4 linked regions of the Lytechinus pictus genome follow. The protein of the gene in region 3 interacts with the protein of the main gene of each other region in a biochemical or structural test. Links are inferred from orthologs where the notes say so. Each region holds a gene or a part of one and is shown on either strand. Other genes may lie near its edges. The genes, in order: ubiquitin-like modifier-activating enzyme 6, ubiquitin-like modifier-activating enzyme 1, ubiquitin-conjugating enzyme E2 G2-like and E3 ubiquitin-protein ligase MARCHF6-like.

What was found.
Region 1: the proteins of ubiquitin-conjugating enzyme E2 G2-like (region 3) and ubiquitin-like modifier-activating enzyme 6 form a complex in vitro, tested with the Homo sapiens proteins (2 studies listed by BioGRID, with this or other methods). The link is inferred for Lytechinus pictus from reciprocal best matches to the Homo sapiens genes UBE2G2 and UBA6.
Region 2: of the proteins of ubiquitin-conjugating enzyme E2 G2-like (region 3) and ubiquitin-like modifier-activating enzyme 1, one has a biochemical effect on the other in vitro, tested with the Homo sapiens proteins (5 studies listed by BioGRID, with this or other methods). The link is inferred for Lytechinus pictus from reciprocal best matches to the Homo sapiens genes UBE2G2 and UBA1.
Region 4: the proteins of ubiquitin-conjugating enzyme E2 G2-like (region 3) and E3 ubiquitin-protein ligase MARCHF6-like form a complex in vitro, tested with the Homo sapiens proteins (2 studies listed by BioGRID). The link is inferred for Lytechinus pictus from reciprocal best matches to the Homo sapiens genes UBE2G2 and MARCHF6.

Annotation. Positions count from the first base shown.
Region 1 is NC_087249.1:23,274,986-23,282,699, forward strand, and holds the start of ubiquitin-like modifier-activating enzyme 6, read right to left. Parts: upstream 3,020-7,714; 5' UTR 2,936-3,019; coding exon 2,933-2,935; intron 2,782-2,932; exon of another isoform or gene 2,727-2,781; intron 1,030-2,726; coding exon 929-1,029; intron 455-928; coding exon 360-454; intron 143-359; coding exon 114-142; intron 1-113. UniProt on the Homo sapiens protein: Activates ubiquitin by first adenylating its C-terminal glycine residue with ATP, and thereafter linking this residue to the side chain of a cysteine residue in E1, yielding a ubiquitin-E1 thioester and free AMP.
Region 2 is NC_087247.1:36,375,556-36,382,779, forward strand, and holds the start of ubiquitin-like modifier-activating enzyme 1, read right to left. Parts: upstream 3,012-7,224; 5' UTR 2,527-3,011; coding exon 2,518-2,526; intron 1-2,517. UniProt on the Homo sapiens protein: Catalyzes the first step in ubiquitin conjugation to mark cellular proteins for degradation through the ubiquitin-proteasome system.
Region 3 is NC_087245.1:12,246,792-12,253,992, reverse strand, and holds the start of ubiquitin-conjugating enzyme E2 G2-like, read right to left. Parts: upstream 3,014-7,201; 5' UTR 2,753-3,013; coding exon 2,710-2,752; intron 1,535-2,709; coding exon 1,453-1,534; intron 233-1,452; coding exon 114-232; intron 1-113. UniProt on the Homo sapiens protein: Accepts ubiquitin from the E1 complex and catalyzes its covalent attachment to other proteins. In vitro catalyzes 'Lys-48'-linked polyubiquitination. Involved in endoplasmic reticulum-associated degradation (ERAD).
Region 4 is NC_087246.1:38,704,481-38,712,331, forward strand, and holds the start of E3 ubiquitin-protein ligase MARCHF6-like, read right to left. Parts: upstream 3,001-7,851; 5' UTR 2,906-3,000; intron 2,208-2,905; 5' UTR 2,159-2,207; coding exon 2,134-2,158; intron 1,624-2,133; coding exon 1,480-1,623; intron 1,149-1,479; coding exon 1,076-1,148; intron 1-1,075. UniProt on the Homo sapiens protein: Endoplasmic reticulum membrane-associated E3 ubiquitin ligase that plays a critical role in mitigating endoplasmic reticulum stress, the regulation of cholesterol and lipid homeostasis, and ferroptosis.

The sequences.
Region 1 (7,714 bases), on a different chromosome or scaffold from region 3:
ATACATTATCATGTAAACCACCAATTATTACAATTAAGCTTTATAATGAAAACCAGGGACAAGATGTTTAGTAGAAATTAAGAAAAGTATTCAAACATTTGACTGATCCTTACCTTTATACCTGCCAGGACAATGTTCTTAGCTGTATGGAAAGATAGAGCAAAAGACAGTTTGAGGGCAAGATGCATGAATAATCTTAATCAAATCAAGATGTGTAATGTTAAATACTGTGACCTGAATTACTACTGGAATGAAATTGAAAAAAAGTTTTCAAAAATGAACCTACAAACCGTTGACTATTAATAATAATTAATTTGTGTATGTATTTCATAGAAAAAGATGGAAACCTGAATATTTACCAATTTCTATGCCTATTCCACCAAGACCACTGAGGAAGACATTAGAATGTGCCATCTGCTTCATGGCACTGTCTCCAAGAACATAGCGCTGGCGGCTATTATAAAGGAAAGAGACAAAAAGGGGGAGCATCAAGTACTACATTAAAGAAAATTAAACTTAGCCTCCCACTTATAAGTCTTGTAAAAGTGACAATTTTATTATTTAATCTGATCAACAGAGGGCCACTAGGCCAGCATGATATAAAAAGTGAGAATATATGTATGCGACTCACTGACTTTAACAAAATGCTTCACTCACAGACCACATGTAGAGAAATGCAAGACTGGCTGTGATAAAGGCTTTGATTATGAATATAGTCAACCTTGCCCAAGTCAAACTTGCCTTGATCACATAATCTCCCAAATCAAAGGTCTTTCAATAGTAAATCTTCTCTTCATATTCTGTTGTACTCGACCCTTCATGAGTTGAAAATACATGTATGTATTTTAAACTTTGTCTTTCACTTTAACTTTGCAATAATTGATTATAACTGGATATTAGCAGAAGAAACAGAGTAGGATTAACAAACCTGTACAAGCTGTCATCTATGTCTTCATTAACAGGCATCTTGATATGCTTGGGTGCTGGCAGATTGCTGGGGGCAAGACTGTGTTTAGGTGAAGTTTCTTTCTGTACAAAGTAAAAATAAAATGAAATAACATCATTTTAGTTAACTGTGTAACAATTCTAGCATTTTTAAGCTATGCTTCATAAAATCATCTGCAAGCATATTTTATTCTTATTGCATTTAAAATTAAAGCCCCCTGTTATCAAAAAGTCTCCATAAATAAATCACTGGAGTTATATCAAAATGTAGTTAGCATTACAGACCCTCTTCATGGACTATGAGCGGAGTATGGTCCGTTATGGGGACGCTGATTAAAAATCAGAAATAAATGCCTTAATGCCATAACATTTTTATTGCAAATATAATACTTTGTTTTGTTTTTTCATGACAGCTCTGTGGATTTGGTCATCTTTTCATTGGAAATGAGAAAAACAAAAACTGACCAGACTAATGAGTATATCACCTGCCAGGTTTCCCACTTCCACAATTCATCTAATGTACAAGGTTATAATAATATTGCCTGCCAAACCAACACACTGGTTGATGGTGTCTGGTAATATTAGGATAATCTTTTTTCCTACTTTCTCTTGATCTAGTAGGTAAATGCTTGATTTAATCAGGCCATGCTGCAGTTATACATCAAATGAAGGCCAACTTCATTTCCTTGAACTAGTTTAATACAAAAACAGAGGAAAGGACAAGTTGTGTAATTGATTTCTGAATTTCAACCATAAAAGGGCTTCAAATATAAAACAAAATAATACAAATTTTGAGAGCTCTGGTTGATTAAAAAACAACTAGACAGGTTAACTAAAATGCAGATCATGAAATAATGAGATTTCATGTTTTCTCATAATGATATTAATAAAAGCTTTTTTTCTTTGGAATGTGTGTTGCAAAGAATCAACAAAGACAGATGTCACAAAATTGGTAAAATTAGAGTTTTAGGGTTTGATGAGATTGAGGGAGAACTTCAATATATGTTTAAAATAATGGGTACCAACATAGATTTTGCAATGACATAACACCATCCCTGCCTTTCAAATGTATCTCTAGCAGGATTGTATTGTGATGGTGAATATACAAATCATGTTTGTTTCCAGATCAAGTGTTTCCCTACCATATAGTTGGTAAAACTGACAATGCCATAAATCTTTTTTTTCCATTTGATTTTTTTTTCTTCTTCCATTTGTTTTTATCACTCTCTCATCTTTATTCTTTTTATCTCTTTCCTTCCTTTTTTATATATTTCTTTCCTTATATTTAGATTTTAATTTTTAGTATTTCCCTTGGCCTTGCATGCCTTAGGCTTAGGCAGCCTTTACTTAGTTTTAATTTTCCTCTGCTCTTCCACTATTTGTTCTTTTTTCTTCTTCTTCCTCCTTTTCTTCATTTTATATTCTTCTTTTTTCTTCTTCTTCCTCCTTTTCTTCATTTTATATTCTTCTCCACATTCGTTCCTTTTCATTTTCATATTCTCCTTCTTCGTATATATTCTTCTATGACAATCCTCATTTTCAGACCGCGGCCGCGACCAACCCGCGCCCAGCGTCCTTTTTAATCCCCACACGAAATGAAACGAACGGGACCAGACCTAAAATTGCAATACATAAGTCGACATTCATTATAATATGCAGGCCCATTAGACCTACTTACGACTTCTGAACTGAACTACACTAGAATAACACAAAACATCAGAATGCATAGATAATAACAGTAAAACATTAATCCAACTATTTCATCTAAACTTGCAACTTACACTTATTACAGATTCGGGGATTTCCGACACGGGGAAGGGTATCCAATAATAGTCTTTGAACAAGACAATACTAATAAAACACAGAACAAATGTTATGTTATACCGCAATTGTTTCTTCATTTTTGGAGCACTAGCCATAGAGTCTATCTAAAATATGTTATAGGTTCTACACATAGAATTATAGAACTGACGAAAAGAACACTTACCATCCTCAGAGCTATTAATAAATGATACAAAGCATATAACCTCGTTCCTGGATGAGTGGATACAAAGTAGGCCCTACTTCACCGTCGCTGCAGAGACGGGCACATCACATCATTTTCTGCGCCAATATTCGAGCTAAGGGTAGTTAGCTGAGCTGAGACGATAATCTTGAGCGAAGATCCCTATTTGGCAGGGGCGGAAATCTCTCCCAAAAGGTAGGGGGACAATGGGCTGGACAAATTGACAAGCAAAGAAAGAAAGAAAAAAAAGGTTATCACCCCAAATATGCAAGGTCATTTCGACTAAAATAAATTTGACAAGCAAAAAAAAAAGTAAAGTCATCCCAAAAGTAAGGTCATCTCGTCCAAAATACATTTCGATTTTTAATGAAGTATTTCTTTTCATCACAAAATACCAAAAATAGTATGGGGGCATTTGATATTGTGTCCCCCTACTATTTTGAGTAGGGGAGGGGGGGGGGGACGCGTCCCCCTGGGCAGTGGCGGACCGTGACCCGAGGAGACAAAGCATTGGAGGGGCACTGTATTGTAAGTGAACAATGCTGCGCCCCTCCAATGCTTTGTCTCCTCTGGGTCACGGTCCGCCACTGCCCTAGTCCAGATTGGACCTTGTTGTTTGGAAGTGCTTTTTCCCAAAGCTAACATAGAGGGCACATGTCTCCCAATCTCTAATCAGCGCCAATCCACTTATCTTCCCTCCCCAACAAGGTCCAGTACAAAACTTTGCTGTACCAGAAAAGCTAGGCATCAATCAAACAAGTTACACGGTAGGGGGTCAGGTGCCCTAGTCTCACACACCAAACAAGACACATTTTTACCCAAAACAACTTCACCTCTAACAGGGTGAAAAATGCAAAGTTGTGGGGTTTTTTTACACTGTAAACATAAGGCTCCGTGTTCATGCACTTAAAAAATATCTATTCAGCGCCTTCCTCTCTCGCCAAATGATTCCACCCATGAACCAAGTATCAAAGTTTGAATAAGTAGACTACACCAGTCACAAGGAGGCAACAGCTGGTAAACATCTCTGGCTCAGGCAGCATCAACAGATCCTGGCCCCCACCCCCATCGTGGTCAATGGGCAGTGGAGGGTCAGGGGAAACCAGACCAGTGGCCTACAGGTACGACTAGTCTCTTGTACCAAACTTTTGCCTCCACTCAAATACAAGTTTACCCCAAAGGACGATGAAAATACACAGATGTGACCGATGTTCTACAGAATAGACATATACCACCATGATAATTTGATATTCACATTTTGTTCTATTGAAATGTTTTTTCTCTTACCCAATGATTTCATCCGTGGAATAAGAATTACAGTTTATAAGACTAGACTACGAAAACCAGGACCATGTTGCTTCCATGAAATGACCTCCTGACCTCCATGATAAGGGGCAGTCAGTGGTTTTTGTATATGGAGCTATATATAGCTCCATGGTTTGGAGATGGTTTGATATGCATGTGTTTGCAGTGTATTCCATACTATGGACATCCATGTCCATACTATGGACATCCATGTCCATACTGTGGACATCCATGTCCATACCCAGCTAATATAATAACATTCATGAAAGATCCTAGAAATGCTTTCAAAATAAATTTTTAAGAACATTTGTATAACATTAATGAAACAATATTCCCCTGATGTTAAACATGAAATAAACGTTAATATTATGATGCCAAGCAGATATATTTTCCTAAATGTTACATAGATCTTTACCCCGTTAGTTGATGAAAAAAAATGATATTTTTCTAACGTTTTTATAATGTTACATAATTAATGTGAATATTTTTTTTTCAAACGTTCGATGTTATGACTATGATGATGATAAAAAAGTCATGAATGTTTGTTATCAAAATATTTCGACAAAACAAAAAATGTTATGATTTTCTTAAATATAGTAGATACATGATAATTTTGCTGTTTTTGCCATATTGAATTAACATTTTGATAGGAACACAATAACATTTTATTGACATCTACATGTACTGGATGTAAAAATAGCATTTTGAAAATGTTGTTAGAATACTTGAAATGAAATGATCGATATGAAATATGGTTTAACAACATCTCAACAAAGCATTCTTGAAAAATGTTTTCAAGTGTTTTCCAAAATGTTAACTTTAAAAAATATATTAGAAACATCCTGATAATTTTAACATAAATTGTTGAGAAACAAAACAGATATACAATTTTATAATGTTATATACATGTACGTACATTGGATGTGATAATAAATGTTATGAAACTATATGTTTATGTATCATTTTGACTTAACGTTCTTGAAAAAAAAAATTCCTAATATTTTTCAAAAGCGTTAATTAAATGTATCATTAACATGTTTTTCAATGTTTTATGATGATATGAATATAATTTTTTCAGAAACTTGATAATACTACTAACATTTTTGTAAGGTTATACATTTGATGTAAAATAAACATTTTAAAATGTTGTAAGAATATTATGACAATAACATCAACCGTTCAACAAAACATTTTTGAAATATAATTTCCAAAAATATTTTAAAATGTATTAGAAACATCCTTATTTTTAGTAGTATAATTTTAACATTTTTTTGTATTTTGCTGACATTTTGATAAAGTTATTGGGATCTATGATTTTTAACTCATCCGGCCCGAAGGACTAGATGAGCTTATGCCGTGGCGTGGCGTCCGCGTTTCAAAATGCTTCTTCTTCGCTATTTCTAGTCCGGAATCAATTCTGTTTGCTTTATATGATAGCACTAGGTAGGGGATTCAAAACTTCTTCATAGAATTTTGAAACTCATTAAATATGCTAATTTATGCGCATTTTTAAAAATTCACAAAAAATGCTTCTTCTTAATTAGTTGACCGATTTTGAATTGTTTGCTTCCATCTGGTAGAGCTTCATGAAGGTCACCAAACTTCTACACAAAATTTTGAAATTTGGCCGGAGTAGAAAATTATTTATGCTAACTTATGCGAAATTCATAAATCACAGAAAATGCCTCTTCTTTATTTGTTGACTGAATTTCAAAATGCTGCCCGCTTCGTCATTTCAAGTCTGATTTTAATTCTGTTTGCTTTTGATATGATAGCATTAGGTGGGGGATTCAAACCTTCTACACAGAATTTTGAAACTCATTAAATATGCTAATTTATGCGCATTTTTCAAAATTCACAAAAAAATGCTTCTCCTTCGTTATTTGTTGACCTATTTCGGCTTCCTTTTGGTAGCACTTCATGAGGTTCACCAAATTTCTACACAGAATTTTGAAATTTTGAGTAGGAAAAATTTTATGCTAATTTATGCGAAATTTATTCATAAATCAACAGGAAATGCGTCTTCTTATTTGTTGACCGATTTTGATTTTTTTTTCCATCTGGTAGATCTGCATGAGGTTCACCAAACCTGTACATCATTTGTTGATCAATTTTAATTTTCTTTGCCTTATATGATCGCTTTAGGTGGTGATACAAAATTTCAACACAGAATTTTGAAACTCATGAAATATGCTAAGTTATTTATATATTTTCAACTAAAAAAAATAACTTATTTATTTGTTGATTATTTTTGTTCCGTCTGAGAGCTACATGAGGTTCACCAAGGTTCTACACAGAGTTTAGAAATGTTGACTAGAAAATTATTCATGCTAATTTATATAAAATTTATTCATATAGATCACAAAAAAGCTTCTATGTAATTTCTTCATCAATTTCAATTCTATATCCTCAATTTATGTCACCAATATAATTCACTACAGTGACGTCAACTGGGATGAAATTAAAATTGTGTTAAATATCGTTGCGAGATGCTGGATGAGCTCCACATCATTGATGTGCTAGTTTTAAAAGGTTGTAATACTAGTATCATATCAATGACATCAAACGTTCTTAGAATGTCAGAACTGAAACTGCTTTATAGTATTTTCAAAAAAGAGAGAAAATATTGTTTTAATACATATTTATGATATAACATCATCTGATCATTTAAGAAATAAATTCATTTTACTATCATCGTTTTTATAATGTTATACATTATGTGAAAAAAATAATGTTGGTAGAATATGACAATAACATAAAACATCATTCTCGAAATGTCATGATTATGATTATGCTTCTCAAATATTTTAACAAAACTTATTTTTAGAAATGCTTTTCCAATGTTTAAAAAATGAATCAGAAACATCCTAATTTTGTCATTTTTATGATATTATTTTTAAAGGACAAGTCCACCCCAGAAAATTTTTGATTTTTATAAATAGCGAAAAACTCTAACAAGCACAACGGTGAAAATTTCATCAAAATCTGAAGTAAAATGAGAAAGTTACGAAGTTTCCATTATTTTTCACAAAACAGTTATATGCACGACTCGGACATGCAAATGAGAGTGTTGATGTCCCTCATTCACCATTTTTGTATGATATTGTTTGAATTATAAAATGTATTTCAATTTTTACAGATTTGACAATAAGGACTGAATTGATCGAACCATAAATTGTTAAAACAAAGGTAATACCACATGTTCAGGGAGGAACAAAACTTTGTTTCACAGGACAACAGGGATATAATTGGAATATTCAATATTTCATATAATAAAATACAAAAGAAATAGTGAGTGATGTCATCAGTCCCCTCATTTGCATACCTGTCCAAGATGTGAATATAACTGTTTTGTGAAAATTATAAAGCGAGACTTAAAAATGTCATAACTTTCTGATTTTGATTTAATTTTTCAGTATTATTCTTGTTGGATTTTTTCTCTTTTTATTCAAATCAACT
Region 2 (7,224 bases), on a different chromosome or scaffold from region 3:
CACTTCCAAGTCCATTTCTCACGAACTGAAGTGTCGATCCCTTTCACCCTCGCCTCTTCACCTCAATCAAGAAATTTCCGTTGAAAAGCCATAATTTTTCACAAACTTTTCTAGTTTTTTCGCTCGCACGAAAGAACTCCCGTATTGACAAATCACCGTAATCACGCCTAGCGCGATAACCCAGGGAGCTCCCGCCCGTTTCAAGGGCCGAAGTTCCCTGGGTTATCCTAGCGCCTGCATGAATTGAATGCAGCCATCGCGCGCGCACCGAGTACACGCTGTTTCCCCCACTGTAACGCACGACGGTCTGGTGGGTACGGTAATACAAAATGGCAGCGCCCATGATCAATACCGACCGTGTGCGATAAACTTCAAACAACATCAAACTTCAAATAGCCGTCGAAGAATCAAGTTTTCGAATGCATGACTGCAATTTTCATAAAAAGTAACGACAGCAAGTTGCCAGAACTTATAACTTTGTGTGAATTTGGGCGCAATGTGCCCTTCATTTTCTAGCAATTTTTGCGAATAAGGCATTGAAAATAGACACCCTAACCCCCCTTCATTTCATACCAGATTTACATCGATCTCAGAGACCACCTATGTTGGTGAAAAAATATCGGGAGAATCTCAGGCCTGACCTCTACAATCAAGTAGTTAATGTCATTTTTCTACCATCTTGTAAATTTTTGTTGCCATATCATGATCTTTGGAGGAGAAATGGGGGGTGAGCATATTTATGCTAATTTATTCATGAGATAATGTTTTTGGCTCTCACTACTCCCAACACTAATTTGCAAGTTGCACCATACATGTACCTCTATGACTCCAGCAATGCTGAATGATATGTGTATATGCTGTGTGTGCGTGTGTCATGTGATCACGAGAGTGGCTGAATGTGCAAGTGCAAGGTGCAAGGGGAGGGCACATTTTCCTTTTTGGATGAAAAATTTGACAAGCAAAAATAAAATTTTTTTACCTAAAAATGCATATAATTTCGTCCAGGTAAAATTTGAAAAGCAAAAAATATTGAAAATATTCCTATTAAAAATATTATGCTGTGACTTTCAAAGGGGGGCACACATGTAAAAGCAGCATTTTACATTTAAATTTTGATAATGGCTCTCAAGGGGTGGGTGGATGTGCCCCCCCCCTTGGATCCTCCACTGGTCATGTACAGGAGGCATGCTGCAGGCTTCCCAAAGTTTTAAGTGGGGCATGAAAATATTTTACTTGCAAGCATTAAAATGAAACATTTAAAAGGGGAGGGGTTATAACTTGTAACTAACCTCTGGTGTCAAGCAATGGCAGATCCAGGGGGCACAGTCAGCCGTGCCCCCCCCCCCCCCCCCTTGAGAGGCACAAATAAAATTTGTAATATAAAAATGCCGAAAAAACACAAGTGTGAAGTGTGCCCCCCCTTCGAAAGTGAAGACTTTATTTTTTTTGCTTGTCAAATTTTTCCTCTGGAAAATGTGCCCCCCCCCCCTTTGTAAAATCCTGGATACACCTTCTGGTGTCAAGATACTATATTTGGAAAGAGAAATACCCCTTCCGTCCCTGATGTAACCCATTTGCTGTATAAAAAAATATTTGAAGAGGGGGCTTACGAACCCCCTTTGTCTCCTTAGGCTTCACACGATGATTGCACATGAATTGTAATTGCACACCAGGCACATACGCCACGTGCAGATTCCCCAGCTCTTATACATGTTCTACCGATGACCACTGCACTAGAGACACACAGAGCTTGATCCATTCGACCAATTCGGGCCATTCATTTCACCCACAAGTTGAATGCGACTTTTGTTATTCATTAGAGGTACGTATCGTTATTCATATCAAACAAAATTTTCAAAAGGGTCATTATTTATGCCAGTTCATTCTCACTCAAATTCAAGAAAAATTATGACTCATTGGTCTGACATCGCCTTGCGTTTAAACTTTCAGAACGATATGTGACACACTTTTGAAGAAAATTACCATCGCCCAAAGAAAAAAACCTTCCTTTATTCATGTCGGCTTTAAGAAAACGTCGCCTGAGAAATAAAAGATAAATAAAGGCCGAACAAAAATTGATAATATTCATAAATTATGCAAACGAAAAATCAATTTAAAAACACATACAATTTTGCTCACCCGTTTCATATTTTCAGCATCAAAAGACCTTTTCGCACTCGAAATCATGCTCGGAAAGACAGAAAATTGATGTTATTGTTATAGCAATGATAAGAGAAAATAAAACCCGGAAGTCAGATCCTGCGAAACTCGATATTTTCAAGAAAGCAACCTTTTTTTCTTATGTACGAGTGACAAGATCGTCTTTGTAAAATGGATTATCATATATTATGGACCTCAAACTACACAATGTTATTGATAGTTTTCAATCAATGTAATAATTTTAGAGAGCATAAAGTAATTGCATTTTTCCAGTAGATCCGGTAATAAAGGTAATAAAGTGGTAATAAAGACTAACTTAAAGTTAAACTAAAGTAATATTTTTTCCCTTGTACGTACCATTTTCATTTCAAATTTTTTTTTGAGTGTTTGTAGAAATTGTTATTGATCTCGCCAATTTAACATGTTGACAGATACGAGAATGTCTTAAACTCAGACCATCTGTGATAGCTTAAGTTAGGAATAGGTCGGACTCGGAGTTGGACTAAATTCACTTTTTCATCGATATCCACGGATCACGCAACACACAGCTCTGCTTCATTCACACACATACACACACTGTATGCATGACACACTATCATTATGAGCTGAGTGACATAGCAAGTATTTCTACACCGTACACGAAATCAAGCAATGAACGAAGTCTAACGTTAGTCGGTGAATGTCGGCTTGTCGCGATATCACACGTGGTTATGGTAATTCATATAAGAAATAACGCTAGATTCAGTGGTAAAAATAATGTGTTATTGCTAATGTGCATTCTATGATGTCTATATAGTACTTTCTGTAGAATGTTCTGACCAATATTGCATATTCTACTCGAAAATCATAACGAAAGAGACAAAGTCATACCTCTCAACCTCAGCGACAATTTCTCGGATAGTGCATTGTTCACCGGTTATAATTATAACCCGGCGCAAGCTCACGTGACCAGCTGCAGGGAAATGTGGCTTGCAACATTTTTAGTATTGTACAAAATTATCATACATGTAGTATACTTACCAAAGCAACCCAAATGCAGTCTAGGACTTGCTCGAATTACAATCAAATTATCTCTTGATTTAAAAAGTTGATAAGTATGTAGACAAGAACAATTGGTAAAATTGCATTTCTGAGAGTTTTCTTCTCAATTTGACCGACCAACGTTCGGTAGCGAGGCTAAACGACGTGTACAAGACAGTATATCTATTTGGTTTGGTAGTATATGGAGTGAGATAGACCCCAAATATATTGCCAGTGATATACGGAAGACACATATTTTTGCGTAGAGGCCTACGCGTATCTCGTATACAGATAATTATGTCATGTACTACGTTAAAAGATGAAGAATGGGATCACTGGAACGATTGAATTAATGATAGTAGGCCTGCCTATAAATGAGGCCTATATTTAGTATCATTTATAGTCCCGGTTTAGAATATAAGATATGGGAATTTCATCAGCGCCGACTATGTTGTTGTTGTTTTTTCAGTATTATGGTTGAACCCCATGATATGATCTACAGCTATAGTCTTGGGTCCAACTCATCACTGGATTATCATTCGGCCTCGAAGATATAATCTTTTTTCGGAATCAATATAGGGACCAAGCAAATGTTTGAATACTCTAGGAACATTAAAAAAGAGATAACTATAAAGGCCAATAAGCTATCAATTGTTAAACATGTACTTACATGATATGACTATCCTTTCCCCTGAGCGTTGATGAGTAAACGCTCAAAGGAATTTAATTTGAAGGGGAGGTTAATGCTGATGTCATGGTCTTTTAATAGACAAATGCTATCAGTCCGAAGCAAATGCGGAGGCGCCGCGTCCGCCTGCGGTTGTGGTAAAAGGGGGTAAAAGAAACATCATCGAGAGGGGCCAAACATACATAAATTCCTGACAGGCCTAAAAAATAAAAGAAATACAGAAATTCATTTCCCCCTTCATTAACTTGACGTCATGAATGAACAAGTACGGATTTGTTTTATTAAAAGTCAAGTCCACCCCAGAAAATTTTTATTTGAAGCCAAATAGAGAAAAATCTATAGCAGCACACTGAAAATTTCATCAAAATCGGATGTAAAATAAGAAAGATATAATATTTTATAGTTTCGCTTATATTGATCACATTTCAGTGACCTATATAGACAGACGATGATGCGGCTCGCTCACTCATTGTTTGAATTATACGATATTTCATTTCAAGTATAAAAAATATATATTTGGGCAATCATCATACTGGAATCTGACAGAATAGGTCTAGCTCAAGAATATATGTCAAAAAGTTACTCCCATTATTTTTGTAAATTTTAGAATTGGCAGGACTTTTTCAAAGTGTTTTTTTTTTAATTGATACGCTATCTAGTAGAGTATCTTCAAGGCGTAGGGATGGGGGGGGGGGGGGAGGTGGACAGGAGTTGTTGCATCACCAAACTGAGTGTAGCGGGGGTTTCGGATTCCGGTGACCCGGGTTCGATTCCCAAGTGGTGCGCTAGTGCCCTTTGGTAAGGCATTTATCCTCATTACCAGGTCCCTCGGAGAGGACCTTAAGCCGTTGGTCCCCTGGTTGCTTGTTCACAGGCATTCGTGCTTATTTAGCAGTCAGGTAAAAAACCTCGGTATAAGATAATCTTTTTCCATTGCCTGGGTCACTGCTTTCACTACTTAGATACCTAACGCGCCTCTCTCAATCCACAAGAGTTTGCTGTGTTACAAAACCTTTGCAGTATATATTCAATGGCAAGTTGTGAATTCCTTTCCAAAGCAGACAGTTCCAAATGTAAGATTCCCACAAGAACGTTCCTGAGAAGTCCTCTCTCCCAGGAAAGTTAGCTAGAGCACGAGTCTCTTGGTAAGACAGTGCACTTGACCCAAACCACATCTTATTTTTAGAAGACATCTTGCCGGTAGCAGGGGGGGGGGGGGCTGTCCTCGATCCTTTCAATACTTTGAGGTGTGGCTAATTGGGTTACAGTTGTCTCTATGCGCTTGCCTGACATACCATAGCAGTATTCATATTATAACCACTTTGGACCTGGATGGTTTAACAGCCAACTGCACCATCTAAGAGCACCTGGGGTGTTTCACAAAGGTGTATATACGTATGACTTATAGTCGCAGTTATATACCGACACATATTATTATGATATGCAAAGCGCAATCTTCAGATCAAGTTAAATCAACTTTCCTATAAAACGTAATATGCACAAATGTAAATATCTCGGTGTGGTACTAAATGAATATTATATAACGTGGAATGACCAAATTGATAAAATGAAATGCAAAATTACTTCAAGTCTATACTGTTTAAAACGCGTGAGACCATATATATCTCAAGATACTGCTATGTCATTGTACAAATGTCTTATTCTACCCCACTTTGATGATTGTTCATAATATTTGGAGAAATGCAGGGAAAACCAAAATCAATCGTCTTATATTGTGATGCAGAATAGGGCCCTTCGAATTGTGCTAAAAGTTGATTCCTTGTTTAGCACATCAGCATTATACACCAAATTGAATGCTGAACCAATCGTCCTTAGATGGAAAAAACAAGCACTTGTATTAATATTTATGTTACTCAATAAGCTTTACCGCATTTTATATGTAATAGGATTAGTCTTAAGCAACATTCTACCCTCACACTCCGTAACTCAAACAATATAATAAACCTTAAAACACCCAAAACAGACTTTGCACGAAATAGCAGCCTATATCTTGCCATACTTGACAGAACGTATTCGCACTTTACCAAATCTAAATTTATTTGAATCTGAAATTGAAAAAGTCCTGAAATCTTGATAATCCTTTTTTTTTACAATTGTGTTCTTGTTTTTTCTGTTTTGATTTTGTTTTTCTGTTTTCTTTCATCCTCCCTCTTTGGTTTTGTATATAGGTTTTAGTTTTACTTATTTTTATTGATTTGTTTTTCTTATATTGTTTGTGTATTGCACGGCCTCTCTGAAAACCAGCCATTGGCTGATCGAGGGCTTTTTACCGTGTTTAAATAGAATAAATCAAAATCAAATCTTATTGATTAATATAGACAGTATAGGGCGTGTCCTCTTGGCATGATCTAACCAATGCGGTCATGCCTTTTCTAACACACGCAACTAGGCATTTTAAGTGTGATTCTAAGTCATTGTGAAACACCCCAGGTCATATTTCTTTTAAATAAAATTGGCTCATCTAAAGTTGTTGATATACCATCAGGGCCCCATTGCATAAAAGTTAGTATCATGAAAACTTTGCCATCCAATTGTAACTACCATGGCAACGATGCTCAACAGCAAATCAGAATCAAGGATTCCATGGAATGATGGAAGTTACCATTGAATGCAAAAGTTGCCATAATAGTAACCTTTATGCAACAGGGAACAGGTGAGGAGCTAAGTATGGGGCAAATACATTAGAACAAATCCATGTTTAGCTACAAAGTATTCATCTAAAAAAATCTGTTGCAATGATTTCAAGAGTTAGGTCAGGACCACAACAAATTCAAACCTATCTGGGTTTTATTTTTTCCTTTTTATCACTCAATCACAAATGCAATTCAGAGCTATTGAGGGGGAAATTATTCCACGTTTAATTTCAATGAGATATTATTTTTTTAATACTGAGAGAAGGGAGCATTTTTATCGCTACATGTTATTCAACCCCTATTAATTTGGCACTCTAACCCTTCAGGATTTTTTTTAGATTTCTATCTTGTATGTAATATAATTATTAAAGAGATGGTCCAGGCTGGATATATTTATATCTCAATAAATATAGTAAAATTCACAAAGCAAAATGCTGAAAATTTGATCAAAATTGGATGACAAATAACGAAGTTATCAAATTTTAAAGATTTGCATTATTCCAGTGAAACAGTTCTAGGCACGTCTCATAAATATTCATTAGGTGGGCTGATGATGTCATATCCCCACTTGTTCTTTTGTATTTTATTATATGAAATTGGGTTTATTAAAAAATGTTCTACCAAGAAATGAAACAATTGGATTGACACTGATTAAGAGCATGAGCTATTTATTGCCGCAAGTTATTCCATCATAATGAATAC
Region 3 (7,201 bases):
GTTCATGTCATAATTTAAGATTCGGTTCATTAGTGATAGCTAAAGGAAAATAAGTAAGACACATATCATTGTCCAAAATCTTCAAAGATATCCTTGAAACTGAAGCCTCTTACTATTTGGATGAAACATCTCTGTCTTGAATCGCATCTTAGGAGGGTTGAGTGGATAGTCATTGGGAAACTTCAGTTCTGTCTGGAAGACACCACCCTCAAAGCATGTACCTTCTGGACCCCTGATGATGGGAGATATGATCGGTGGAGAAAAATATATGCTTTCAACATAGGAAAACGAGTTCTACATGTAGCCTCAACCAAAATGGTGGCTCAGTGGTAGCAGGCCCATTAAAGGACTAGTCAAAAGTAAAAAGACAAAAATCTAGCGAGCATAACACTGAAAATTTCATCAAAATCGGATGTAAAATAAGAAAGTTATGATAATTTAAAGTTTTGCTGACTTTCCTGGTCGGTATGCAAATGAGGAGACCGATGATGTCATCCACTCATTACTTCCTTTGTATTTATGAAATATGAAATATTCTTATTTTCTCCTCATTGTCAAGTAAAACAATGTTGAATTCCTCCCTGAAAATGTGGAATTAGCATTGTTTAATACTATATGGTTAAGTCAAAGATGGTCCATATTGTCAAATATGTATAAAATGAAATATTGTATCATTCAAACAATAAAAAAAAGAAATAGTGAGTGAAAGACATCATCGACTGTCTCATTTGAATGTCACTTAATTGTGCATATCACTGTTTTTTTAAATATAAGCGAAAATTTAAAATGTCGTAACTTTCTTATTTTAACATCCAATTTTGATGAAATTTTCAGCGTTATGCCAGTTTGATTTTTCTCTATTTATTCAAATTAAAATTACTCTGGGTGGACTTGACCTTTAATTAAAAATAATAATAATTGAAGAGTATTTTGTAATACTGGTAAAAAATAATGCCCCATATTCCCCCACCAACCAATTCTGTATTCGTGGAATTGCCCCTGATGGCTTTGAAAAAGTTCAATGTTGATTCATTTAAAGTACGATAGTGAGTCAATGATTTACATGTAGTTTCAACTCTGCAATCATCTCATCTCCATCACCTCCATCTTTCTTCATATTCCAAATATTCAAATGTATGTTATCAATATCCCATCCTGCTTTATAACATTGTATTTTTGTTGTGATGGTTTAAAAATCTTTAGTAACAACAGTAGTTCTTTTACTACAGAATACTTGCATGTACGTTTGGTAATTTAGCTGGGAATAATTAGAGGTTCGCATTTACCATTCATTGTCAACAAGATAATTCATTACAAGTTTTTGTTTGTTATATCATAGAACAATATTCTACTAATATTCTGAATGCGAAAGAAAATAATCAAATACATGTAAAAATCATGAAAGCAGACTTTATGTGACAAAGCAAAGAATAGATTTTAGAAAATACTCACGTAATCAGAGCCTCCCATTCGAAGAAATTTTTTTCATCGACAGGGCCTGCTATAATACCCTCTGGAGGGTTCACTGTTAGCTCTGTTCATGACATAAAATAAAACATTAAACTACATAACTTATTGTCTGCATGCAGTTTAAATTTATAACTTTTTCAGTTGATAATTGGAGTAACTTTACAATCCAATGTCATAATCGATTATTAGAGCATCACACACACGATACATTCACGACATTATTATATCACATGACAATGGATTCTAAACGTAAAGTGAAAAAGTAATTGAATTTCAAAGAAATTTATGATTATGCCCTAATCTTAAGTTAAAGGTCACAGGTGAGCAAACATGTCCCCGCCCCGGGGGGGGGGGGGGGGGGGGGGCACTCAGTATATAATGCATAGTGGGTATGTGCCGCGGAGGGGACCCCCATTTTTACACTCAAATTTCCGTTCCCAGGCATAGCATTTTTGTCTTATTGAGAAAAAGAACAAAGAAAGCCGCTCCAAGGCATAGCATTTCCTTCTTATCGAGAAAAAAGAAGAAAGAAATCCGCTCCAAAGCTTCGCATATTTTTCGTTACGCCGTTCCGGTCGCATTGATCTGCTACAATTTTGGTGAAAAGCGGCCGTAGAGCGCTTTTCGACCATCGCCTAAGCGCGAGCGCACCCGGCGGAGGCCGCGCTAGCTGCGTCATGCACGATTGCCCGTTCCATAGGGATGCATACGCACTCACAGAGATACGGAGATCCGTTCCGATGACCCCCGTTTTCACAAACATTTGTAGTTCCGAAGCCCGTTCCGAGGACCCTCCTTTTTACAATAAACCCGCTCCAAGGCCCCCGTTTTTTGCATCGCCCGTGGCACACCCCTACCACTTTTTTGGTCGAGTGCCCCCCCCCGGGGCCCCCGCTCAGCTGGCGACCACCACCAAAAATTTTGTCTTCTGATTTTTTGACTAATTTCATAATTTTGTTTGTCTATTTTACATGTATTATTCACCATTTTTGTATGTTCTCACATGTTGCCGTTTCATTTATATTTGTAATGCTGGTGGAAAGAAAATTTCCATGAACTTGGACTACAATAAATACGAACTTAAGAACTTTATCAAGACACAATCGAATCACAAACACGGGAATCTACGAATGGGGCACACGCAATAATTGCAATATGCCACACATAAATAAAGATCGAGTTATCAGTTAAAATAATACAAATTTAAGCCTTCAAATATAATTTATGAGTTATACCCACGTTTATATTCAGCCATTAATCTCTTCAGTGCAGCTCCGGCCATATTCAGTTCTAATTATTCTCTCAAAATATGCCCGTTTTTTGACACGTCAATTGCGGGTCAATTGCACTGACATTGACAAACCAAGGAGATGAAACCCAACTAGGCCCAACAAATGTTTATTTCAGGAAGGTAGCCGTGAGAGATTTATTTGCAAAGCAAAAATGAGAGGCGATTTCGTGAACTGATGCAACTAGTACTGACACATGTAAAGAGATAAAAACAAATCTCTCCATCATCATCTCTATCACTCAGAAATGAATTAAAGTTTATTTTATAAATGGTCTGACATTATATATATATTTAGATTTTTATTGAAGCAAATCAACCAAATAACAAAAAAATTATAATATTTGAATGTCCTTCCCTCCCTTAAAAAAATTAAGAAAGAAACAAGAAAAAATAAAAAAATCTTAGCATAATAGGTCTGGATCAGCTGAAAATTCGAAGTATAGTGTGCACAAATTATTTTAATCCGTTCTATCATGGATATCGTGATCTTGATTCCATTATTATCTCTAACAAAAATGATTTACTTTTTTTTTACTGCTGTGAAATGTGCAAAGTGCCGACCGAAACTACTGCCGAGCAATTTTAGATTTATTTAAAAGGATGGTCCGGGCTGAAAATAGTTAATTTAAATAAATAGAGTAAAATTCACAAATCAAAATGATAAAAATTTCATCGAAATCGGATAACAAATAACGAAGTTATTGAATTTTAAAGTTTATCAATATTTTGTGAAAACAGTTATATGCACATCGTCATGAATATTCATAAGGTGGGCTGATGATGTCATATCCCCACTTTCCTTTTTCTTATGTTATTACATGAAATCATAATTGTTTCATTTTTCATTCATGTGTAAATGATATTATGATGAAATAAGTTGCAGTAATGCACTTAATCAGTTGTCAATCCAATTGTTTTAGTTCTTGGTAGAAAAAAAATAAACCTAATTTCATATACCAAAATAAAAAGAACAAGTGGGGATATGGCATCATCCGTCCGCCTAATGAATATTCATGAAGACATGCCTAGAACTGTTTCACCGGAATAATGCAAATAACTTCGTTATTTGTTATCCGAAAAAGTTTTGATCAAATTTTCAGCATTTTGCTTTGTGAATTTTACTCTATTTATTGAGATATAAATATCTCAAGTCTGTAGTCAGTAGCGGATCCAGGAAGGGGGGGGGGGGGGGGCACATCCGGCCCGTGTCCCCCTTCTCTATGATGTGAATATGCCATTTTTACCAAAGTGCCATTTTTACCAAAAGGTCCTTTTAAATAAGGACCTTTTTGTCAAAATTTTTATTGGGGAAATGTGCCCCCTCCCCCTTTGGAAAATCCTGGATCCGCCCCTGTTTAACACCGTCCAGAAAGGAGAGCCCCTTTGCATCTTTTATTAAATCACTCCTAGAGTGACATATAGGTAAAAGTTTTCTCAGAGTGCCTCGATTTCGAAGGAGTCGGGGAAATAGCTTACAAAGGTACAGGCCTATCTTCCTGATGATTTCTCCTGTTCCTGATATTTTTTTTTCAATGACTGTCATCTGATACTGTTTTGAATGTACATCATATTCTATTTTTTTTTGGTGTAAACAGCCAGTCTCATTACAGTTGGTAATTTTATCATCACTTACGGGTAGCAAAGCATTTTGAATCGTGTCTACATGACGTTCATCACGGAAACGTGATAAATCTATAGTATGCGTGTAAATTCTTATCTTACCATAAGGTACCATGCTATATAATATCGCGTGGGTGCTCCATAAAGGATATCAAAATGAGACGCCATGTAAACGAAATCACTCGCTTACATTGTTTCTATTACTAATTAGTGCCTTAGCCGTGTCAAGCTCAATCAATAGTTGGCTGGTATCATTTTAATTATCCATTTGCGTAAGGAGCTGAACTGTACGTTGGATTGAAAGTATAGGGAATACATGACAGGTGAGTGATAATTTTCTTTGATTTCTGATAAATCCTGGTATGTTGCAGCCGAAAAATTGATTTTTTGAAAGACCCGTTTCGAGATTTGAATTTGGATATTTTAGATTCGAAAAAAAAGGTCTTTACGGTTTTTAATGAAATTTACGTACATAGTAGGTGCGACTGGTCACTCAAACTTAATTCAATCAAGCTGACCTGAATTATGTTTAAATCCTTGTGCCTTATTGGTAAGAAAAATCTGTTATAAATCAATCTCCATGCCAACGCACACCACGATTGGTCCACGATCAAATTTTTGAACAAATCGAATTTTGCCCATTTTCCGAAAATGTGAATGAAAGAGTATTTTTGTTTGAGGGTCAAATTAACTGCATGAATACTATAACAAATTTGGATAACTACAAGCCTTTTTTTTTTTTAGTAAAGGTCAAATTAGTTTCAAATCGTAGCCAATCGTACGAATGCTATGACGTCATAACGACTAAATATCAAATTCGCTTTTATTCTAATATAAGGATGATAGCATAGTCACAGATTTGAACATTGGTATTTGTATGATTTTGGAACATAAGTCCATGTCTCGATATCATGAAATTCTACTGCTTTTTATTCAAAAATCGGGTCACAAACTAATCGTAAGATATGCGGTGCATGGCCTTACGTACATGTATTGGGGAACGTTCAAGTAGTTTCATTTTTAATTTTCAGGGATCAAACAATCAAAATTCGTTTGATAATGTGATACCTATAATCATTCATTTATATTCTTTTCAAGGGAGATGTGTAGAAAACCTGTCCTGAGAGAAAAGTTTCAGTTTGTACCCTATTCCCTATATACCGGGCCTTTATACCCCCCCCCCCCATTAACCGGTGGACAACTAGCTCTTGGTTCCAATAATTGTCTGACTAACATTAACGTTTAACATTTAGAAATATTGATTGTAAGATTACCAATGATATCAATCAATCAATCAGTCAGTATTATTCAATCAATCAATCAATCAAACAAACAATCAATCGAGCCCTACACCAAAGTTCGACTTTGACTAATAGCTATATAATTCAGCTGTATAAATATGTCATTAGGCCCATGCCTATATAAACATCAGTCTCTACCCTATATAAATGCATATTGATAATCTTTGTATTTTTAGTTTCTTAAAACATTATCGTAATATCATCGTGGTCATGCATGTAATGATTATAGGGAAGTTTGGTTAAATAAAGAGCAATTATCGAGGCTCAGTTTATTTTGTATTTCTTCCGCTTACGTACCTATTTATCAACTCTTTTCAAGCAATCTGCTTATGATGACAATCCTCCTCCTGCAAATTGTGAACGTTATAATAATTTGGTAGTAGATCATATTTGTTTAGAATGATATTTTAGTCCATTTTCATGTCCAACACATTAATCAATTAACTAAAACGTATCATAATTATGAATGATAATCCAGTCCAATCAAAACAAACTTATTTATTCATAGCTCACAGGATTCTCTGAAGATTTTCCTGAATGATCCCCTCCCCAAAAGGGGGAAAGATTAAACTAAACATTACAATTCATCTGATTAACTTTTCATAATATGAAAATACTCTAACTTTTCTATACCTACCATATACATTATGACAGATGGAGAAACCTCAGTGTACAAAAATGGACAGAAAAGCGGATATATGAAGACAAAAATTGATTGATGTCTTATTAGGAAAATGGAACATGATTGCAATGTGTTTTACAAAGGAAAAACAGATTCGCAGAAAACCATGTATGTTTTTCTATCCGAAAATCATTTTTCTAATCCTAGCTTTTACTTCTGATATAACCAAGAGGATAACATTTTATAAGCATCAAGGGCATTTTGAAAAACACATTTTAGAGCCATTATGAATGCCATATGACCCGCTTTAAGAAATGAATCTAGGTCTCGGATGTTCTTACTGCATGAGTCCGGTATTTTAATCCGGACAATAAATTGTACTGAATATTCCCAAATACAACCTAGACGTTATCTTGAACGTTGAAATAGGAAAAACACACTTCAGAATGTTACAAAAAGGGAAATGACAATTTTATAAACAAACAGAGTTCATCCGCAACGCTCTATCCCAAAGTGTGTAATTGAATATTAAAACTATAATGGCATGCAAGAGACTATAACCAATTATCATCATCCACTTTGCTAAAAATATAAAACTTTTGAGTTCATTAGTCCTGCTATTATATATTCAAACTATTTAAACGTCGCTGAAAGGGCTGCCACATTGGCGTTTAGATTGCATGCATGCAGGCCTATATAATTATGCCGATGTCTAAGATGGCAACCCTTTAAGTCATGTAATTACCATATACTCGTTAACAAAGCAAAATGATGTCTCCATAATAAGAATGTAATTATTAGCATGATGAATTGATTTTTTTAGAGTAAGATAACTACATGGAATACAAACGTCAGCATATCGCTGTCTAAATCGTCCAAGGTGATAGTCCCTTAACA
Region 4 (7,851 bases), on a different chromosome or scaffold from region 3:
AAGCAGATGAATTGTCCATGAAATAGATATTCAAGATGTTTTGGGTATTATCCCGAGTTAATTACACCGCTCCTCTGGGCCTGCAATGTTGCAGATTTAGCCATGAGATTGTGAAAGGTAGCCCCCGAAAATAAAATACTAGTTTTTTGCCTTATCCTTATATAGCCAGGGGCAGGAGGGGGGGGGGCTTATATAGCCCCTTCAACATTTTTCATAATAAATCTAATATATAGAATATTTCAATTTGAAGTTTGGACAATAACGAAGGTATTTATTGAACCATAATACGTATCAAAATAACAATTAATACACATGATCAAAGAGGAATCAAACCTGGTTTAAAACTACAAGTATAATACAAAAGGAAAAAGTGAGTGACATCAGTTCCCCCTTTGCATACTGACCAGGATGTACACAATGATTTTGAAATCAAGCAAATTTTTAAAATATCATAACTTTCTTATTTCATATCGAAGTTTGATGAACTTGTCAGTGTTATGCTTGTTTGATTTTCCTTTATTTATTCAAATAAGATTGTTAGGGTGGACTTTTTCTTTAAGTAATAACTGTGGGATTCTTGAAAATTCACATTGGTAACCAATTTTTGGGGCCATGTTTATTCAAATTGACAATCAGCTTTATAACATCAAATAAATGATACAAAGGTTTAAGTTTGTGATGATAGTGGTGACCCAGGCAAATCTGCAATGTAATGAGAATGTCTCCTGATATTTTTTGCATCACTGTAAATAACCTTGAGTGCACTATTCACATATGGATTATGTTACATGCAATACAAACGCAAGGCTTCTATGGAATCTTCCTGGTCGAATACAACAGGCCTTTACATTCTTACACAAAAAATCTTAATGTAATTTACTTCTATCAGAGGGAACTATGGGTCAGCCGTAGATAAGATATATGTCATGTTTGTACTATTCATATTGTTGTTTTTATGCTGAGAAAAATAAACTGAATTGAACTGATTTTCTTGTAATGACTTTGATATGTAACTTGATAGCACATAATGTTAGCAGCAAGAGGTACTCATTGATGCACTGGATTGAATACTTACAAAGAGAAGATATCAAATGGCAAGGACAACACGGGAGCGAGGGATGTATTGAAGAGGCAGCCATATATACGACCTAAAGGCAAATGAAAGAAAGGCTGATAAAGGTAGATAAGACTTATACAAGTAGGGAAATGGTATGCTAATAGGTAATCTGAAGCTAGAAATATAAATCATCGCTGAATAATGGGATACTCACATGTCTATTGAGAAATAACTGAATAATGAATACCAGTATACAGATGAATGAATAAAAAATGAATAATCATTATAATTGCACATTATAAAAATAAAATCTTGTCTACATAATTAAATATTCAGATAATTAAAAACATCAAATTACATACAATGATTTAACAGATTTTATTGAAACTTTGCTTAATATTAAGGAAGATAACTTGACATACTTGCTGTAACAGGAACAATGCCAAGCCAAGCAAAGATGACCATGGTATAGTGGATCCAACAGAGTACAGCTGTACCAAAGTTCCTTACAAGACCCCATACAATGTCACGGAGGGGCAAGCGAGGGGGCATGTCAGGAGAGTATACTTCAAAGAAAAACAAGACATATATATGAATTTTTAAATTTTAATCAAGTCACATCAGTTAAAATGCACCAAATCCAGAAGGCACAATACAAAATTTGGAAAAAAATAGTTTAACAGATTTTCATATAATAACATAATAATTGTGGAGATATAATATATCATTAGCTTGCTTATTGCACATATTCATGATAACATGCAGATAATGGTTTCACCAAAACATTTAAAAAAAATTACTTTATTAAGTTCAAGAATTTCTAAAAGTTATATCTTGATGAAAATTTCAGTGCTTGCTCTTTAAATTTTAAGTTAAATCAATTAACTAAAACTCTCATTTTCAGCCTGAAATACTCCAAAATTTAAGACCAGAGTTAATATTCTGGCTCTGTATCACATTTTCATATATGAGTGTACCTTAACATTTACATACTTTGATAATTGAAATTATCTTTCATTATTTATTAAATAAACAATAAGTTCAAACTAAAACAATAACACTGTACATGGACTTACTTGGGGCAAAAGTGAACTTGTGCATGCATAGCTCACAATATTCCTTCTTGCTGTGTTTTAGCCATTGCACCAGACTAAATGGGGGAAAATAAGAATATTTGAGAAAGGGAGGAGAAAAGATACAGTAAAAAGAGAATGGGAATCACAGAAAGGATAGAGAGGAGAAGGGGAGGGAGGGAGTCACACAAATTTATTTATTGACCGAAGGAGTAGGTAATCGATCTATCAAACATTATTCTGATAGTGGTAATTATTTCTACTATTACTAGCTTTTAGTTATTTTCAGAATACTTCCATCTGTCATTGGTATTCTATTTTATCTTCAATCAAATAATGGGAAATTCATTAAATATCAAAAGCAGAACATTCAGAAATTGCAAAGATTTAATATACTATGCAGTTAAGTAAGTTAACTAACCTGAGCTTGACAAAAAATCTACAAAAAATACAATACACTGTACAGCAATAAATTAGCTTGGATCTGCAGTAGCCCAGGGCTCTGGAATCAATGTAGGATATCAATGCATAGATATATATCGTGTATATCAATGCATAGATATTGGATTTAAATATATCTTTGCATTCCCTATCTGATTGTTTCTATTATATTTTTTCTTAATTCAAACTCATCTTAATAAAACAGATCTATGTATATACAAGACTTTTATAACATATACCAATTTCCATTTATTCAAAAGACAATCATTGAAAATAATAGAGGACGGTCATGAACCTCATCAAAAACTCATGCCTATATTGATGTAATACCTACCAATCTTGATGAATGTAGCGAATACTACCAGTGCAAATACATGGATGAAATAGAGGTCGCTCATGGCCACCTTCTGACCTGCATACTCTACATACATCTGAAAAGAAAATAAGTTCATATTTTCATAAAATGGTCTTGACTCCTGTATGAGATTCATCTGATTGTGGCTTTCAGATTTCTTCACAACTGAGAAAATTATCTCACAACGCAGTCCGAAGAAGCAACCAGTTGGAAGCATAAAGCCCTCTATGGCACAAATTTTTTTCTTGATTGTGAAAAAAATTATAATGTTAAAAATGTACCAAAATGTAACTTTGCAACTTAAGTGAAATCAATCATGATCAGTGTTTTTGCTGCATAGAAATAACAATAATGATAAAACAGGTTGGAATTATGTTAATTGTTCATTCACCAATCATGTGAAAGCACCAGTAATCAACATTCACATATCGCTTTTTGCCATTTGATTGTTCGCCAGGGTAAGTACAATTGAATGATTAAAACAATCAAGATTCCTGCGATTGAATTTAATCAATATGGAATACCCCCAACATGGCCAAAGTTTGACCCTAAGTGACCTTTGAGCTTGGTCATGTGACCTGAAACTCAGGCAGGATCTTCAGGGATATACCATTACCCAAGTTTCATGCACTAGCTCCATATACTTTCTAAGTTATGACAACATTTCAAAACCTTAACCTTGGTTAAGATTTCAATATTGATTCCCCTAACATGGTCTAAGTTCATTGACCCTAAATGATCTTTGGTCATGTGACCTGAAACTCAGGAAGGATGTTCAGTAATACATGATTACCCTTATGTCCAAGTTTCATGAACTACATGTAGATCCATATACTTTCTAAGTTATGATGACATTTCAAACCCTAAAAGGACTGGGGGGCCATGATGCCCCCCCCCTCAACGCTTCGCACGATATTTCTGAAATGAAAAAAGATAACGCCGCAAAATTTTATGACTTTTTTTTTTTGAAGTCTCGCACAACTTTTGAGACCAAATTCGCGACATACGGGTATAGCATCTCGACGCCACGCGACTTTTTACGTGACAATGTCATGCCGAAAATGGCTAATTTTTATACTTTGTGTACAAAGTCTATACGGGAGATGAAATTCATAAAAGGTGATTATTTTTCATTCTAATTGGTCTGCTTAAATATTTAGGGTTTAATTTAGTTGTTAAATGGTCTGTAATAATTTCCATTGAAAAAAAACAATGAAAAGCAAAAGATGAAAAAACAAAGAAATACATAAGGAAAAAATTCACTTTTGAAATTTTTCTTCGTGGAAACCTTTAAATTTGATTAAAAGATGAGTCTGAAAAAAAAAAAAAAATTTGAAATGAAATTGAGTGTTAACTATGCAAATGTTTTTCACAAATAAATTTGCAAATTTCATTTATAACAAATTATAAAAAATAATCGTTTTCAGAATTTTTTTTTGTACTGGCTTGTAGTTTATGTGGAAAAGAATGTGCGAGCCAAATTTTGGCGCGATCGCGCGAACAGCGGCCGAGATCAGAAGGGGAGGGGGCCATTATGGCCCCCCCCCAGTCCTCAAAACATCTCATATACATTGTAGCCCTGTCAATTTCGGGTTAAGATTTCAATGTTGACGCCGCCGCCGTCGGAAAAGCGGTGCGTATAGTCTCGCTCTGCTAAGCAGGTGAGACAAAAGCGGTTTAATCTGGTCAACTGCTAAAAAAAAAAATTAATAATCAGTTCCGTTTTGGTCCTGAAAGGTTGACGCGTAGTGATTTCACAACACTAAAATATACAGTCTCATTTTCGTGTTGGAAATGTGCTTGAAGTCACTTAGCGTCAATCTTTCAGGACTAAGAATGGACTGATAATTTATCTTTTTAAAATAATCAATTGACCAGATTAAACCACTTTTAAGAACATATGGACTTCGAAAACATTTCATATTCATTGAATTATTAATTTTACCAGTATAATAGCAGTTGACTGGAGGTTGTTCCTCTCGTGTTTCAACATTCCCAATCAGTACTCTTCCCGATCAAGGTGGCTGCGTTTGCTATGACATTGTGATGTATCATAATCATATCTATGTGAAATTTTGATTCAATCCTCATTATCCCATTTTCAATATTTTTTTTCTTTGGCAATTCTATTCAATTTGAAAATAAAATAAGAAAGGACTTCTAGTTTTGATTAAAAAAAAAAAAAAAAAAAGGAAATCAAACAACAATTTTCATAACCATTATATGCCAGACCGTCGTTATGAAAAATGTTCTGTTGGCTCAGGATTGGCGGTCATTTAAAAAATAATTTTGTAATTTATTTAGTCATACTTTGCTAGACCCCAAAGCTTGGACAAAAAGTGCCGAACCACGCCGAACCGAACCCGAACATGCCGCCTAACTTGCAGCACTACTATAGTTTCCAAGTATAGCGCCTATTCACATGCACCTCAAAACAATGACTGATGCCTTTTCTCCATAGACCCTGTAGTTAAGCATCAGTCGAAGTTCAACCATTACGAGCCCAATGGCTGTCATCGGTGTATTGACTGAAAGGATACCATGGAGCCAGACGAAGTCTCAGCAGAGCATAACCCTGACATAAATAGACCTAATCGGTCTATGCAGATGTACCTCAGGTGATGGTTCATGTAGGCTCCACTACACTTCAATACCGCTACACTATGCTACACCTACCCGAACCATCAGGGCACATCCAACACCGGTGAAATATGCGGCGAGTCATGTGCTGACTAGATGGGGAAGCTATTGATAAATCTGACTTTAGTCAGAACAGTGATTTTGAGCCCAAAACAGACACTAAAGTTTATATTTCTGTCTGTAGTCTAGGTCTACGAGAAGCTTAACAACTTCAGCCGGCCCGGTCCGGGTAATAGCAAGGGGAAGATACTGTTGGTTGATACGTGCAAATTATTAAGGGTACGGGTCATGGCGGCCCCGAAGAATTTAGGGTTCAAAGGGTTAAGACTACATTCAGAAGAATCCATAAGTATGAATATGCAAATAGCGAAATGATCCCAATCTATAGGAACACAATATTCATATATGTCTTGAGCCACGATCTCCACGCATGCGCAATTTGCGTTTGCGATGTTTTGGAATCGGCAGTGTCTAATGGTGAGGAAGTAGCAACTGGCTTTTAAATCACAGATTTTGAGACTGTAGGGACAGTGATTTTCCGCGATCGCGGAAAGCGGACGGAATTCACGGAAATGGCCTTTTGAAACGGAAAGTGACATTTCAAACGGAAAATCACGGAAAACATATTTTTCCTCAGAATACACAGAACAGCAACATATATTACTCCAAAATCTCAACAAAATACGAATATTAAATGGCCACAAAACCTCACAAAACACGATCTCACTTCACTACGATCATGACAATCCACACATCGTGACTGCTCTTCACTCCATCACACTCAATCGTACCCCTCGCCCCGGTCCTTCCCGGCCGCGCCGGCAGGGTACGGTCGATCGGCCGTATCGAAAACATTCACATGCAGGTCGTGTGTTGCTGCCCATGTTTGAAGATGTAACAGCACGATCTTGAAATCCAAAATGGCGGATAGAACGAAATTGTTGACTGCTCAAAACGATGTCCAAAAAACCCCAAAATTATCGAAAAAATTTCATTCAACCGTAAAATAATGCTAAAAATGTGAAAGGTGAGGATGTATTAATGTTAAATGTGTTTGTCAAAATATTTTGTGTACCCGCATAGATCCGATTAGAGCAGATTCTACTGCGTTGTTGGTTCAGTGGCAGATACAAATTTTGACCAGCGCGAGTGTTGTGTTATTGCTACTGAATGGGTAAACCGAATCGTTAATTTTTTATGTACACAAAATCTATGGGGAAACAGAATTTCCGTTTTCTGACATGCTGAAACAGAATTTAAGATTTTCTGAAACGGAAAAGGCAATTTTTTTAAACGGAAAATCACTGTCCCTAAGACTGATACTATAGAAACAAGTGAAACAGGTTGAAAATGTATTAAGATGAGTTGTAGTCGATCACATGTAAGGTCATGTTTTTGCATGACTTGGTTTTGTTCAGCAACATAAAGTGACACACCTTGTCACTGACTGGGAGTGTCAATCTGTTGAATGTGCCCTGGTGGTTCGGGTAGGTGTAGCATAGTGTAGCGGTAGTGACCAAACAGGACTGAGCCTGAGGTAATGCAGGGGCCTGTTGCATGAAAGGGTGTTTGGTATAACCGCTCTACGTAAGAACGTGATATCGCTCAACTGTTTCACGAAGCCAATTTGGTCCTTGGAAAGACATTTCCAGACATGTCCTATGTAGGCATGATCTTCTTTGCACACCGCCCGCCACCGTCGGCATATAGAGAAAATGTAAAGTAAGATACAGCAAGCCACCCTAACATATCCCCTTTTAAATTTTTTTTTCCATTCAATTGCACGCTGATGCAGTTTATCTGGGATGGTGCCAAGTTATTTTTTGTTTGGGGGTTGGCATCACTTTTCAGGTCATCTAATTGCCTGGCAAGACGACCCAAAACTGATGTCGATTTAACTTCTCCGGGGTAATCTAGGTCCAAACAATTTTTTTTGGTATGTTTCCCATTATTTCTCTCTCATTTTTCTTCCACCCCTTTTCCAATTTTTTAACCAAACTTGAAATATTGAAATGGACCGGCATGCTTTATCATTAGATAAAGGTTATCAAAATGCATTTAAAAATTAAAGAAAACATGGGTTTAGAAGTTCTGCATTGGTTTTGTTCACTCTAGATCTAGATCTATTCAAACCCTATTGTTACCTCAACAAAATAACATTTAGACGAGATCTAGATCTAAAGCATAATTTGCAAAATTATCATTGGAAATAAGCATTCAATAAAATTCAGAATATTGAAATAACTTGAAATTGCTTAATTTATTCTTTTCATATTCTGACAAGG